2 linked regions of the Oreochromis niloticus genome follow. The protein of the gene in region 2 interacts with the protein of the main gene of each other region in a biochemical or structural test. Links are inferred from orthologs where the notes say so. Each region holds a gene or a part of one and is shown on either strand. Other genes may lie near its edges.

The links. The genes of interacting proteins can lie anywhere in the genome.
Region 1: the proteins of fosab (region 2) and runx2b form a complex in vitro, tested with the Homo sapiens proteins (2 studies listed by BioGRID). The link is inferred for Oreochromis niloticus from reciprocal best matches to the Homo sapiens genes FOS and RUNX2.

Annotation. Positions count from the first base shown.
Region 1 is NC_031980.2:3,484,851-3,492,521, forward strand, and holds the start of runx2b (runt-related transcription factor 2b), read right to left. Parts: upstream 3,016-7,671; 5' UTR 987-3,015; intron 773-986; 5' UTR 707-772; coding exon 649-706; intron 1-648. UniProt on the Homo sapiens protein: Transcription factor involved in osteoblastic differentiation and skeletal morphogenesis. Essential for the maturation of osteoblasts and both intramembranous and endochondral ossification.
Region 2 is NC_031980.2:9,324,126-9,332,054, reverse strand, and holds fosab (v-fos FBJ murine osteosarcoma viral oncogene homolog Ab), read right to left. Parts: upstream 3,069-7,929; 5' UTR 2,889-3,068; coding exon 2,757-2,888; intron 2,312-2,756; coding exon 2,090-2,311; intron 1,996-2,089; coding exon 1,888-1,995; intron 1,772-1,887; coding exon 1,097-1,771; 3' UTR 531-1,096; downstream 1-530. Other genes in the region: proto-oncogene c-Fos, read left to right, coding at 7,175-7,303, 7,848-7,929. UniProt on the Homo sapiens protein: Nuclear phosphoprotein which forms a tight but non-covalently linked complex with the JUN/AP-1 transcription factor. In the heterodimer, FOS and JUN/AP-1 basic regions each seems to interact with symmetrical DNA half sites.

The sequences.
Region 1 (7,671 bases), about 5.8 Mb from region 2:
ACCGATTAATTAACGACAGCAGCGCAACTGAACAATTTCAGGAAGCGATTACAGATCTTTCTTGGCAAACTAATCAATACTTCTTCTCTATGCGCAAGCAGAGGCACCCAACACACACAGCCCAGTAATCCCCCACATCTTGTTCCAATGCTCCACTGTAAACTCCCTTGTGCAGCGTCTGTTTACGTCTGTCAAAAATATCACCCGTGCCTTTGTTTTTGGTTCCGCAATGGCATCGCTTTGTAAATCTAAGGGTATGTTGCACAAACATATCATCTCCCTCTTTGGAAAATATTTATAAACATCACATAGAATAAATACTGGAATCTCTATGTGCAGATTTTCTTTTCTTGTTGTTTTTTTCTTTTGGGTGCACAAAGAAAAAGGAGAAAAAGCCTTGATGATAGTTGGGTGTTTTGTCCGCCACAAAAGCTTGGACCTTGATAGCGGGGTCCTCCATGACCTCAGCTGATCCCCTCCACTCATCTGGACCCAAAACATCGGACCAGTTCCAACATCTTCGCCCGCTTTCCTCGAACCCCGTTAATTCCACCACCCAAGCCTCACCACCTGACCCCAAGTCCTTCCTGTGACCTGAGCCCCCCAACCCAATCCAGACACAACAGGGAGCAGGAAAGTGGTACTCACCCCAGAAGAAGTTTTGCTGACATGGTGTCACTGTGCTGAAAAGGCTGTTAGATGCCATAGCTGCCTCTGGTTGCAGCAAGCCCCACTTTTGTTCTTCTGTGGTTTCCTTGACCCTTGACACGTCCTAAACCAAGAGCACGCAGCATGTCATGAAGAAAAAAAAATGGAAAAGCCATCCACAAGACATGCTTTTACGTATCAACTATTTGGATGACCACAAGTAACAACCAGGTCTGGTTTTATAGAGGAAAAAAAAAATTGCAGAGACAAATATCGCCTTTGCGGATAGATCAGATGGTGTCGGACTTGCTTGCTTGGCGAGTGTGGTTGGGACGTACTTACTCGCTTAGCGCCGTCCTTGTGACTGGTGCTGGCCCGCGACGATTAACCATTTACACTCCAGGTCGCCCTCAAACACCAACCCCGAGCCGCACGTCTGTGGTTCTGTGGTTGTTTGGGAGGCGAGCAGAGCCCTCACACAACCCAAAAGGCACCAGCTTTAAAACTCGTCTCTTTCCTGCCCTCCATGTGCCGTCACTGGAGAGCCTGGGTCACATGCCCTCTGACGTCATCACGGCACAGCAGTTGAGTTGGGACAGCCTACCGTTGTGGCTTTCTTCCCTCTCCTCTCCTTGGACTTTTTTTTTCCTCTACTCTCTGGCTCCCCTCCTTCTCTCTTGCGCGTGGTTCGGCAGCATTTCCAGGCTCTCTGGGGATCGGGGTCTGACGCTCCCATGAGTCAGGAGGCTTCAGTGGGGGCAGCTTGTTCAACCGCCCATGCCTCCTCAGCATATGGGGAGCAGTGCTCTCTCTTGGGTTGGTCTCCCTTCACTCTTTCATCCCCCTCCCTCCTCACTCTCTCTCCTCAAACTCTCTCTCTCCCTGACACTGCTGCTCCTTCCCTCAACTCCTTTAGCAGGCTGCCGTGCTGCTCCTGTCTGCCTCTGAGCAGGGAGAGCTCAGCTTGGTAAGATTTGAGGGTGTGAGTGAGGAGCGAATGGCTGGCTGGTGGTGGTGGTGGTGTGAGACTGGGTGTGTACACGCGCGTGTTTGTCTGCAGCAGAAAGAATTGGGGAAGAGAGGAAAAAGCTGGGCGAGCGCATGTGTGTGAAGGGAAAGCGGAGGTGGTGTGACACTCTGCTTATTTACCGAGGAGCGTGTCTGAAGAGTCGTCTCGGTGCAGCCTGAATTTGTTCTCTTTCTCACTCCTTGCACGTTGCTGTGTCACAAACAGTAGTTATGTCACCGCGTTATTACCGTAATAGCCGTGTTTGTGCATGTGCATGTATGCATCCAAGCCTATACTGAGCTTTCATTGGCTCTCACTGAAGCAGCAGTCAGGGGGGCGATTCCCGTAAGAGGCCATAGATCATGGCCACCTGTCTTTTCTGTAAAAGAGATGTCTTCTAACAGGAGACACACACACACCCCATCACCCTGCCGAGAACGGCCTGCCAACCTGTAGTGCAGAGCAGGCAGGTCTCGACAATTAACAGTGAATCATCACACGCTCCACGCACACACCGATTCCCACACCCTCGCACATCTCAGCACGGTTTGTCTTTTGATCACTGATCACAGGTGTTTGTTACAACACATCAGAAAAACGCAGACGGGGTGTTAGAAGAGAAGCAGAGGAATGTGTGGAATGAAGCTGGCAGTTCAGTCAGGTTTGAAAGTGTTAACAGTATCTTAATCATTCTTTCATTTGCCAGCAGGCATGTGTGACTAAGCAGCAAAGAGTCGAGTAGCTCCTCAGCCTTTTGTCTTTCTGTCTTAGATTTGTTTTTGCCCGTTGAAACTTTCTCCCTTTTAATTAGCCGTCAGAATAAGCCTATCAAATGCTTCTAATTTATGAGATGACAGCTGTTCAGGTAGGTAATTTTGCTTTTATGTGACAGGTTTTTTTTATATTCTACCTAGGTATTGCTACCTGTGCCAATATACCATGGAGAACAGTCAACTTTTATTTGTGTGGCTCACCACATTCAATTACATTAAACCCACAAAGAAACAAAAAGAAGCAATAAACATCTTAAGAGATACTACGTTCAGCTACTATTACACTTATTGTGAGTGAAGATTATTGGGGGTGTTTCTTAATAGAAATGATACAACGAAGCTCCAAGGATCCAATGACACTGGGTTCTGTGGGTTGTTCATGCTACTTGTGATTTAAGAAAAATAATATATATGTTAGGCCCTGCTAATAATGCATGTATCGATTGTAATGTATCTATACCACTCCTGGTTTGGCAGTAGAAAATCTCTCTCTCTCTCTATCTATCTATATCTATATATATATACAGATACACATTTTAGAAACAAATTAGAATAAGTGTTTTTTAATTTATCAGTCTGCTTTTAAATACTATATTTAAAATAGACAGCACATTAAAATTTGGGTGTTTTTTAAAAACATATAAAATAGCATTTAAATACCATGCTTAAGCAACAGTCTTGAAAAATTTTCATCAAAGCCAAAGTCCACAATAAACAAATATATCACTGTATCTCAAAAAAAAGAGAGACCTAAACACACAGTCAACAAAACAATTAACACTACTGTCTGTGTAAAAACTAAGCATACTGTCATATTCTAGCGATTGAGTCTGAGCCCTTTTTGTTTCAAATACTACTACTAATATGTCAAACATAAATTATAACACCACTCCCCCTCCCCGAGAGGCACAACAGCATTTCCACAAGTCTTTGCCACCGACCTTATTTTCGTACAGCGAAACATTTTCCTTGGCGCGGTGCTTTGTAAATATTTGCTGTCTAAAACAAGAACATGCCTCTTGAGTTGCAGCGCATGTTACAGCACAGTAGGGAAGGGCCATTCAGATGCTGCAAACACATCGAATATGACAGACAGTACCTGTTTCCGTGGCAAGATTTAATCGATCGTGTCATCCGTGCAGTTTACGTTCACTCGAAATAGAAAATACTCAAAACCCCCAGAAGCAGACTTCTGCAGTTGTTAGACGTTGTAAGTTTTAGATCACAGCAGTGCAGCAGCAAAGAGAGACGGTTGCAGATCTGGATCAGTTTAGTGCTCGATACTTTAAGTATTTCAAGAATAATATTTAAGGTCATGTATAAACATTTTTAGGGTTACTGCAAATGGATGCTTTTCTGTCAGAAGTATTAAACTTTGGGACAGAGTCCAGCACCACCGAGTGCCGCTGAGCCACAGTAAATTGCACGCAGTTTGATGGGGATATAATTTGCACATCGTGATTGAATCTAAAACATGGAACGAAAAGTAAAGCATAAATGTCAAGCTCCACTCACATGGCAGGAAACATAACTTCTTGGGTGGCACGGCATGTGATAAACAACCTTGATGGCGAAAATCTGAACTGTGATGATGTTGTAGTGTCAGATATCTCGCATGAATTCTGTCCGGGCTGCACAGATTTCAACTTTGCAGAGCCGAGGGTGCCCCCCTCCCCCCCGATACAGCAGCAAAGTTTCGTTGAAGTCGGCCCATCTCGCTGTCAGGTCAGAGGTTCACACACCTTATGAAAAACCACTGTGCACTTTTCCAGCACTGAAACTGCTGGTCTTCAAATCTGAAGATTTAACTCCCTCTAGATCAAATCCAGAAGACATCCAAATGAAAGGTTCTGACTTTGTTGGTATAAGAATTGTTTTTGGAACTTTGTGCAGTTCAGCAGAGCTCACTTGAAAAGCTATTCATTGGATTTAAGTCAGCTTGATTGGAAGAATTTTTCTCTGGAAATTATGTTGATGAGAGAAGAGCCAAACACGGCAAAACCCATCCGTGCTGGTATTTAGAGCTCATAAAAAAAAACCCTGTTTTATATATGTATTTATATCTTTTGCAAATCCAGGCCTATGTATAAATGTATAAATGCAGTTAAAGGAAATACTTAACTGTACCTCGTCGCTGTGTTGTTACAGTTTGAAGCTTTATTCTGTAACATTCGTACATCTTGCTGTCAAAAAAAAAAAAGACGAGATTTTATGTGCAGGTAATAATGTTACAGGCTGAAATATAATGTGGAATATAATATTTCATTCATTACTGGTTCTCCACTGGTGGCCGTACACTAAGCTTGCTATACTTGTGTGCGGCGCTGAAGAGCTTGGCCATACTCTGAGCTCTGGCCAAGGTCTGCCCTGAGGACTGTGGTTGATGGCCCACCCTGCCAGACACTTTCCCTCTTCTACCACTCAGGACCACACACCTTCAAATGGACTCGCTTTGTTATCACAAGCTCTCGCAGACACATAATAGAGGTATCGTGTGTTGGAGCGCGCTTAAAAAACGACACATGCTATTAACGCAGCATGTGTGTAATGCAGTGCTGCTGTTTCCTCGCTCTGTCACAGCAGATGACCTTCGCAGATGACTGTTTTCAAAGAAAATTATTTCTGAAAAATATTGGGGGATAATGATACCTAAGATGGGTTAAAATGAACTCAGGCTGAGGCTGTCTGTATTCGTCTCGTCGCGAAAGCTAAAAATGACGTGACATAATTAGCCCGGAGTGAGACATTACACACACGGACGGATTACAGTATTAGAAAAGGAAGGGCTTATTAATAGCCCCGTTGGCTCGTGTTGTGTACTCTCTCTGGCGAGGCATCAGAACGGCCCGGTCGGGCAAACAGGCAGGTACAGTGATTCACTTTAACAGGCGACATCTGTAAAACGCCAAGGTAGTTTACACTGCGGCCGGGCCCGAATTAACGTGCTTTCGTTGGAAACAAACACCACTTGCAATCAGCTTCTGTTGGCCACCGCGCCACTGGTGTGAACGTAAATATCCCCTTACGCTGCTGCTGAGGCAGAACGGTGACCTGAAGCAACAGAATAAAGCGAGCGCCACGCAGAAGTTCGCTTCAACGGGATCCAAAACTCATGGAAGTGAAAAACTTAATCTATCGCGCCGTTTCGCCAAGAGGATGTTGATGTTCTTTGTGAATTGTTTGGTGAAGTACGGTATGGTATAATCTTAATGAAAAGTAGATATTTTTCTTTTGGAGTCCAGCAGCGGTATCTACATCTTCCAGTGACTTAAGGACCTTTCTTGTGGTGTCTGGACAGCTGTTTTTGGAGTCACAGCTATGAGGGAAAATAAAGTCGGCCTTTAAGTAATAAGGGGAAATGTTTAATATCGAATGGCGCGCGCACAACCTAAACACACATTAAAAATAGCTCTTGGAGTTGTGATTACATAAAATTGCAAAAAGGAGAAAGTCAGATCACTGGTGGAGGCTGCGATGAGGAGGCTGTGGCTGACCACCGAGAGACTGAGCCATTTCTTCTTTTTTTCCCCCTTCTTCCATTCCTCATTTTAATCAAGGGCCAGTCCAGGATAAACAGTGCCTACCTACACTGCAGTTCAAACAGCGAGGCCCGCTGAGACCCAAGCGATGATTTCTAAATGTTCACTGACAAGTTGGTTTAATTTGTGTGCTAAGTAGATGGAGTTTGACTTATATATATCTTCCTTACTCTGGCGTGCATACCAGTCTCCCGCTATTTCTCCACCTCTGTGAAACTTCATGGTGCTTTTTGTATGAAAAGCATACTGGTCCTCCACAAATCCTGCTGTCTGGTTTACATATGCCATGCTGTGTTAAAGGTGAGGACAGGTCCCGCCGCTGAGGCCTGAAATGAAACTTACAGCAGCTTCTTCAGACCAAAGACCATGACTGAGGATCTTGGTGATGTTCCTGCTTCTACTCTATTCAGATTTTTTCTACAGTCCGTGTCCACTGAGACCGGTACAGTATAGTTGCGGCCGCCTGAAACCCTGTCATTGTGTGGTCAGTTGTCAACAGCTGAGAGATTTTACTATAGCTGCTAAGGCCAAGGTTGACAGAGTTCAAGTGGCCGAACTGCTAAGTCAGCATTATAATTACAATGCACCGATGATACAACTGTACGGCAACAAGGCCCGGGAGTCACATGACGCCCCCGGTCACATGATGTCGTCACTCCAGGCAAATGTCAATAACAGAAATGACTGTGTGTCATTCATCTCGTGCGCTAGGAAGAATAAATTAACTCTGCGCTGGCCGTGACTCAAATCTGGGGGTGACAACAGCCAATCCCAACCTGAATGAGCTTTCAGATGAGCTGCCGATTATGACTCTCACAAACTCAGTTTACTTGTTGAGGAGAACAAAGTGTGCCTGATAAAGGCAGACAGTGCTCTAGAGAAACAAGCTATTATGAGGAGGAGTTCGGTACTGTGTCACTGACAATGCAGCAAACAAAAGGCTCTGTTGTCTTCTCCAGCCGGTGGGTTATTTTTTTTTCTTTTTTATTTTTGTGGGGCTTTTGTGATGGATAATTGCCCTCCTCACATGATTTCATAACGCTGTGACTCGTCTTTCAGTCCCCGTGTAAGACAATAACAAGATAAAAAAAAAAAAACGGGGGGAGGCGTAGGGAGGTCTAAATCTGAATTTTTGACATTGTTAGAAGTGGCCGCTTTTCTTCCTTGTGGTGTATAATTTTAGAAAGATGTATGAGCAGGACGCTGACTTGAACCAGTCATAATACAGCCTGGAGCACAGGCACACAGGCCAGCTCCCAGAGTTCACTGGCGGCATTGTCTTAGGATAATCACACAACTGTACCATAGTTTATGGCCTTACATCTTATTTATATCAGAATATCAAATTCAAATCATATGGGGGTACTCCAAAGCCACGCTGACCTAGATTTATAATGACAAAAAGAACGCTGTCATGGTGTTTAAGACTGTACACGTTTTCCTATTTTATTAACAATAAAACAGTAGAACAATGAGCACTGTTTCGGTTTCGGGATTTAAAAGGTGATATTTATCACCTGCATCTCTTGTAAGATTAATGTTTCCGTCTTGCTGACAGTATTATGCTAAAGTCTGCCGAAACCCAGTACAAATGAGTGTCTGTGTTTCTACCCCAAGGACTGGGCTGAACTGTAAACATTGTTCTCCACACAAAGCCGACTGTACGTGCACAGCGGTAACCCCCAGGGCATTGTCTATTAGA
Region 2 (7,929 bases):
CTCGCAAAGCCCTATATTTGGGCACGGAAGTCCAGACGTCATCGCGCACGGCTTGCGATTAAAAAAATGGAAAGAACGCACTGACGTAAGAGCCCCTGACATAGTTAACCCTGGCAACAGGCGGAACAATAAATAGAGCAAGTGGAGGTGCAGGGAAAAAAGATGGCTATCCCTTATATAAGCTAATTTTAGCATTATTTTAATCATTTTTGAAAGCATTTTACTGGAAATGCTTTTAATTTACTACTCCTGAGAATATTCCCCTCTTTTATTTTTTCTTTTATTATTTTTCTCTTTCATCTTTTCTTTAATTATTTTTCCTTTGCCTCTCTTCCCCTAAACATGGGGCGAGGTTTCTTCCTGTTAAAAAGAGTTTTTCCTTCCCGCTGTCGCAAAGTCCTTGCCCCATGAGGTGACTGATGAATACACCTGAATTGAACTGAATAAATATGTAAATGCGTGTGTGTGTGTGTGTGTGTGTGTGTGTGGATATCATGAGAGGAAGCAACACACCCAGCCAGCACAGATGATTGAATTGAAATATCACTATCTTTTTATTTACATAACTTACAAACAACATTCTTCTTTACTATCTCTTTCTCTATTCCTCTATGTGTAAAAAAATAAATTTAATAAATTAAAAGGACTAATGTTTTCACAGAAAACTTCGGATAGACCACTCAGACCATGGTTAAGACAATGCACGTCTTTTTTTGTTTGTTTTTTTTCTTTTTAAAATTTCACAAACAGTTCACATATTAACTCTCACATTCCATTAACCAGAAAACAAACTGGATCAATAATAACTATTGCTCTGAACACACATCGATAAACAACAAGTTATGTTATCTAGCACCATATAAATCATATACGAACTCATATAACGACTAGGTGGTATTAGTTGAAACATGCGGGGAGGGGTTTTTTTGTTTTTGTTTTTTAAACTTGCTACATTGGTGTTATAGGCAAGTATAGATAAAGGCAGATAAAAATCATAAATAATTTAATATAAGTCTGTTCCATAGCCCTGTGATCGGCACATCTATGTAAGAAAGTGTGCTTTGATAGGAAGAATCATTGTTTCTTGTACAGTCTTTTAGAGGGCCAGCAGGGTGGGTGAGCTGAGGGAGTCGGAGGACTGCTCATTGCTGCTGCTTCCTCTCCTGTGGGCAACGCCGCAGGTGGGGAAGGTCTCTGCCTCTGGGAAGGTGAATACAAATGAAGACGTGAAGGTAGTGCAGGCTGGGGTGCAGGTTACTACAGGTGTGCACAGGGGCTCGAAGTCATTGGTATTAGCTGAGGTGTGAAGAGCCTCCCACTCCTGACCCGTGTAGAGGGAGCTGGACAGGTCGACCTCTGGCACCGACCGTGCCGTCTCCATCTCTGTCTTTGCCAGGAGATCCAGAGACTCCTCCAGGACAGAGGACTCCAGGTCTGACATCTTGACTGTGCTGCTAGAGACAGTGGCTGTGGAGAGGGCGGTGCTGGTGCTGGAGAAGATGGAGTTGGAGGTTGAGGTGAAGGTCGGCTGGCTGGAAGCGATAGCAGGTGTCTGAGAGACGGTGATCTGTGGCTGGGTGGACACTGCAGCGGAGTGGCAGGAATGGGTAGGAGAGAGGGAGGTCAGGGGGAAGTCCGTGCCCAGCTCAGAGGGGATTTTGCAAATGGGCTGGTGGGCAGCCAGAATGAACTCAAGCCTCTCCTTCTCCTTCAGCAGGTTGGCGATATCATTCTGCAAGTTGGATTTCTGGTCTTCCAGGATATCAGTTTCCTGTAAGAGAGAGAAATGGAGGAAGTTGCATCAGCTTGGCTGTTGGATAGCTCTGCTATTAGCTCTGACAATAAACACGTTTTAATGAGTGATGGTAAGTCTGATGGGATACTTACAGCTTGCAGAGTGTCTGTAAGCTCTCGCCTCCTGTTGCGGCATTTTGCTGCTGCCTGCTTATTCCTCTCTCTGCGAATCCTTCTCTTCTCTTCCTCCTCAGGTGTCATCTGCACATGATAGAAGGTAAAAGTTAGGACCCCTGCTCTTTAATAAACTTAGTCTATGACTATATATAACACTTCATGAACGAATGATAATTACCTGTTCCACTTTGCCTCTCTTGTTGTGAGCCCTGGACACTGCAGATTTCATGACTGCTCTTGAATATGCAGGGCTGGGGCTGGAGGTGTAAGGGTGAGCTCCGTGGGAAGGGGCCACTGAGGAGACCACAGGCTGGACCATCCACTGAAGATCTGGGCTCGTGGAAATGGCCGTGACTGTGGGGATGAAGGAGGCACTTGATGCTGTCAGGTCTGTGAAATCCTGGAGGAAATGAAATAAAAGAGAAGATCGTCAGGACGTTTAGTACATTATCAGGAGGGGTGGCAGCATTGCAAGATGTCTATGAATGAAGCACGGAGGGTCTATAAAAAGCTGGATGGTTTAAAAATATCCTTATGATGTCAGCTATGACGTTACACTCTCTCTATGGAGTTTCCAGGTGGATGAATGAAGCTTGCCTTGCACTGTTTGGTGCGCAGGTCAGAGTTATTTTTTAAAATATATATATACATATTTAAAAACAAAACTCAATGAGTGCTTTTCTTAATTTCCAGCCAGCCTTTTTCATTATTACCATTATTATTATCTGAAAACATCACTTTTAAGTTTTGTCAGTTTAATTTAGTAAACATCCAAATCTCCAACAGGTCCTTTCTGAGCTGAAATAGCGTGCTGTAAAAATTTAACAATGTTTAAGCGGACATACCTGAGACTGGGGAGATCCCATGCTGGAGTAAGATCCCGCTGGTGACGGGTAATATCCCAGAGTGTCCACGGACGGGGAAGCGGTGCTGCAGCGAGAGGAAGAGTCGCAATCCGCGTTGAAATTGAACATCATCGTTCCTTTTTTTCGAAAAAAAATTAAGCAGATAAGAAGATCCGGACAAACTCTACTAAGGACGAATGTAAACTTGAGGTCAGGATAGTCCTTTAGTGGGTTTGCGAGAAAACTCTTCAAGCGCTGTTCCCGATCAGTTCTCTTAGTCGCTGTTCTGCTACTCAAAGTTAGACTGCCAACTCTCCGAGCTGGGCCATTTATATACTGTCTGCTGACGTAAAGAGGGGTGTGCCGTGCACCCGACACCAGGAAGGAAAAAAAACACCAAAACACTGACTTAACAACGCGGTAATAACACCGACTTTTCCTCGCGCTCCATTTAAATTCAATACAGTTTGTTTGCACGAGTCACGAATGAGTCATTTACAGGTGATAAGTGACTATTTGAAATGTTTATTTCTAAAACTCGTCTTCAAGAAATGGAATATTCCGGAGCGGGATCCCCGATACGTAGGTATCCATATATGGTGCATCCTGTGAAGGAGGCGGGGCCTGATGGGAAATACACCGTGAGAGTGGCGGACAGCGGCATGACGTTATGTAAAACAACAAACAGAGATTGTTGTGAAAACTTAAAGAACTGAGATAACAGTGAGGAAAAGTGCGTCCTACACAGCAAGGACACAATTAAACATGCAAATGCGTCTGTGCTGAACAAAATGTACCAAACAAACACATGAAAAAAAAAAAAAAAATCTGTTTCTGTTTTTTTTAACCCCCTCCCCCAGCCGCGCACCTCCTTTTTTATTTTTATGTTTTTGAAATATAGAAACTCAGTTTTATCGTGCAAACTTTCGGCTTGTGGTGAAGCACTTTGTGATATTCATCTTGAAATTTGGCATATAAATAACATGTTATTTACGTACTCGCTAACTTCACTCACTGACTCACTTATCGGCTATTTTTAAAGTGTTTAATTTGATAAATGGTTACACACTTAATGCGAGACAATCCATACAATCACAGAAGGTCCGCATTTGCATGTGTAGGTCACGAAATACAAAGAATAATTAAAAATAAAGATAAGAATAAGCGAGAAAATGGTGGGTAATTAATTTTTACTTGATTCTGTGGTCTGTCCGTTTTCTAAAGTAAACCGACTTTTAATTTACTTATTTATTTAATTTTTGTATTCATGTATTTTTCTTACTTAATCCCAGATGCGTTTATATCCAGTAAGTTACAATGGAATTGTTTCATAGTCAGTCTAAAATATCTCTACATAAACGTTGCATGTCAGGACATGGGTGACATGTTCTCCACCCTCAGGTACTGTTTGTACCTTTCGCCTGCAATCCAGAACAGGGCGTGTTTAGCTGCAGAGCGAGCTGATAACTGGTTTTCTGTGTGTACGTTTCCTCGACGACAGGAGATGGGGAGGGGTGGCGGTTAATTGTAAAGGTCTTCCCCAAAGCCACTAGCAGAGGGAATCCTCAAGATTTACGTAAGAAGCTATGAAACGAATTCATGAAATGCAGGCTTAACGGTGAGCCAACATTGCGACTGCATTTGCTGTTTAATAACTGTTCGTTCTCTGACATCAGCACTTTTTTTTTTATTATCCTGTTCACTTGAGAAGTAGGTCTGTGGAACAAGCAGCATGACTTTCGTGCAATATTACCAAAGTCAGCAACATTTGCTGGTAGTTTTGTTCATGGTTTATTCTTAATAAAGGCGATACATTCATGATACATGAGTTTAATGAAACACAATTCATACTTTTCTTCTTCTTTTTTTCTCTCTCTCGTGAGTCTTCCGGGAATTCCCTTCTTTAACTAAACAAGCACAAAACAAGCACCATAAGCGCTCTCGACCCATTAAACAAACCATAAAGACTAAACAAAGGTGTCATTGTGTCAAAAGGCTCTAATTCAGGCTATAGGATTTTGCGCTTTCTTTCCCGCGCCAGTGTTTTGTTGAACATTCCTGGTTGTCATAGCGACGCCCAGCCCCTTTCGCGTCAGTGACGTCCATTTATTTTTTATTTTTTCATAGCAACGAAGATCGTGTCTAATCATGAGGAGGAGCCGCATCAACAGAGAAACACCAAACCGGCTTTTTCGGCATCGCCTGTGGAGACGGAACGTGCACATGAACACGTCATTAGCGGTTCCCGGAAACGTCGTCGGAGTGAGAGCTCTGAGTGTTTTCCCATCTCTGACAGTCCTCCCCTTTCCTCGGTGTCTGCGGGTCAACGGAATGGAACGGGACACCAAACAAGCCGTTTACCTTGAGCGGTGTTTGAGTTCTGTTTGAGTGGTTGGCATGAAGGTTGCTGACCTGCACTGTTTGAGTGACCTGGTTTTTGCTGGTGTTATTTCGTGTTGGACTGAGACTGGAATCGAAATAAAATTATAATAACAATAATAATAATAATAATAATGATAATAATGATAATAATAATGATAAAAAGAAAGAAAGAAAGAAAGAAAGAAAGGCAATTTCTAAAATAAAAACATATTTTTTATTGCTGTTTTTAAAAGTATTTAAAGTTAAATACTATCTAAATGCTATCTAATACCTGAAGTTATTTCTTTTTTTCTTTTTTTTTTATCGCTGCTCTTTGGCTCCTCAAAGGAGAACAGTTCACTAAAATGACCGTGAACTTGGATGCCAGTGGATCTAAAAATAAATTCTACAGTCTTTGCGCATTCACGCTCAAGTTGCTTTGAAGAAAACGACTGTTAGAGCTGTGCTGAGAGGTGAGTATTGTTCGACCTTTGAACTTCTTTTTGTCCCAGGCCGCTCAAAACGACCACCAATAGTGATGTGCCGGTAAATAGGGCCCAAGGCGGGGGGTTGCCACTGCCGGGAAGTACCCGGGAGCGCAGAGCAAACAGGGGGGAGCTTCTCACTCTATCCAGCGCTTATCCCTTTCACTTGGATGGGTTCGTGAGGTCACATGAAACCTAAATATAGCCCAATCCGGCCCGCAAGCTCTTGTTATGGGAGCAGAATTAGGTTATGCGGGAACATCAATTAAAGCCCGGGCTTTAATTGGTGCCGATAAACTGCATTACCGTCTGTGAGAAAGTAAGTCACGTTGTTCCTGTCTAGAAATTATGTCAGTCACTGGCCTTCTTGAATTCTCCGATTCCCTCATGAGTCTGTTTTGCACATCTGCGGCTGCACCTAATTGCCACCCTTATATGGAAAGGTGGGTCAAATCCTTCGCATCCTCAAACTAACGCCTGTGCGGGCATTCTTGGCGCAGCTGATGACGCTGATATCAGGTACAGCACAGGGTCAATCTCTGAGAGCTTGTTTTACTTTCTTTTTGCGGCAGCGAGTGAGTGGGCCACACACAGCCCGGCAGCGTCCGTCTGCGCGCTATCCTTCCTATCCTTGTGCCACAGCACCCCCCCATCCCCCCACCCCTCCCGGAAATACCATATATGGCTCGACCGGTCCATTCGGCGATTGGCTGCTTGGCTTCAGCGACAGTTCTGTTGCTGGAGCTCTATTCATATGTAGAGACAGGTGAAAGGCAATGTGATACGTGAATGACACTTAATTATGACGGCTTATAAATAATCAGGCAGTGTGCTGGAAGTGTGCTGTGAAATAATTAAATTAATGCCGGATTTTATTATGTGTCTATAAATAGATGATGGAACATTAGTGCATAATCATTGTTCTAATGTGGACAGTTTGGAGGAGAAAGAACCGGGGAAGCACCACACTGGCTATTTTAAAACCATTTATTAATGAAGCCTATTACACTGCCTCCACTTTCCTTCTAATGCATTGAGAGCTCGTGTTACCGTAAATGCCCAGAAGCATTAAACAAAGGCTAAATGTCGAGAACATATGAGGGCATGACGGGAACATATAGCCTGTGATGCAGATGCTGCATACATGAAGTGACGTAGTTCATTCATGGCGGTGGGCACCTTTTGGAGGGAGGGGTGCCATTTTCTATGTGCTCACTTTAAAAAAAAAAACATTTGAGTTCTGATAATAAGCTGAAATAAAACAGTGGGCTAGTGTTGATTTTTACGCACTTCAATGATTTGATTGTTGAACTGTAAAAAAACCCATCTGCTAGCCCCTTTCTCCTGTCACTTCTCCCTCGGTGAAATGGTTCGGTCTCACCACACAGATTTCATTCATAAAATTCCAGCTCACTATAAAAGGCGGGCCTCTCCACTATGTGCACAGTTATGAACCTGGCAAATGGAATATAGGCGTCCGGGACATCCGTTTTCTGTCTAGCACAGACTGACTGTTCAGTCTCTTATGCGGTGATTTAATTTTATTTTGAATTTTTATTTTTTAATGAAACCATGCATCCAGACTCCAGCACTGAGTTCGACTTATCGTCCAGCTGTAGCACAGCATCGCCTGGCGGGGACACCCCTGGGTGCAGTCAGCATCCTCCTGACTCGCTTTCATCATCAGTGGACAGCACCAAGGTAGAGCCGGATCTCTTCATTACACACACAAAAACCTGATCACAAAGCGTAATCTTGTGTTTGACGCATGCGGGTGATACTGCATTCCTCAAATTCTTCACATTTTTATGAAGTCATTTTCATGCACTGCATTTCCCCTAGCAGGATTACTATCCCGTGTTGGAAAAATGACTAGAAAAACATGCGTATCTCTGTAGAAAATCCCTAAAAAACAAACAAACAAACAAAAACAGCGCAATGATATTATTATTTAAATAAAACTGTTTGTAATGCTGTCTGCTTCACAGTCTTCGTTGCAACCTTTTTTTTTATCTATCATAAAAACTGATGAGGATGTGACACGATATGACACGCGGCTGGTTCTGAGGTGTTTACAGAGAGCAGATTTTTTTTGTCTTCTTTGACATTCCTTGGACAAATGATTGATGTAACATTTAAACATTGCTAAAGGTCAGCCAATAACGTGGTCGCCCATTCATCAGATACGCTAAATTAGTATTTTACTGCATGCATATGCATGTCTGTCTGATGTGGGTTTTTCCAGGATACTGAGACCAGTGCAGCAGCCTCCTTTGTTCCGACTGTGACTGCAATCTCAACATCGCCAGAACTAAAGTGGATTGTGC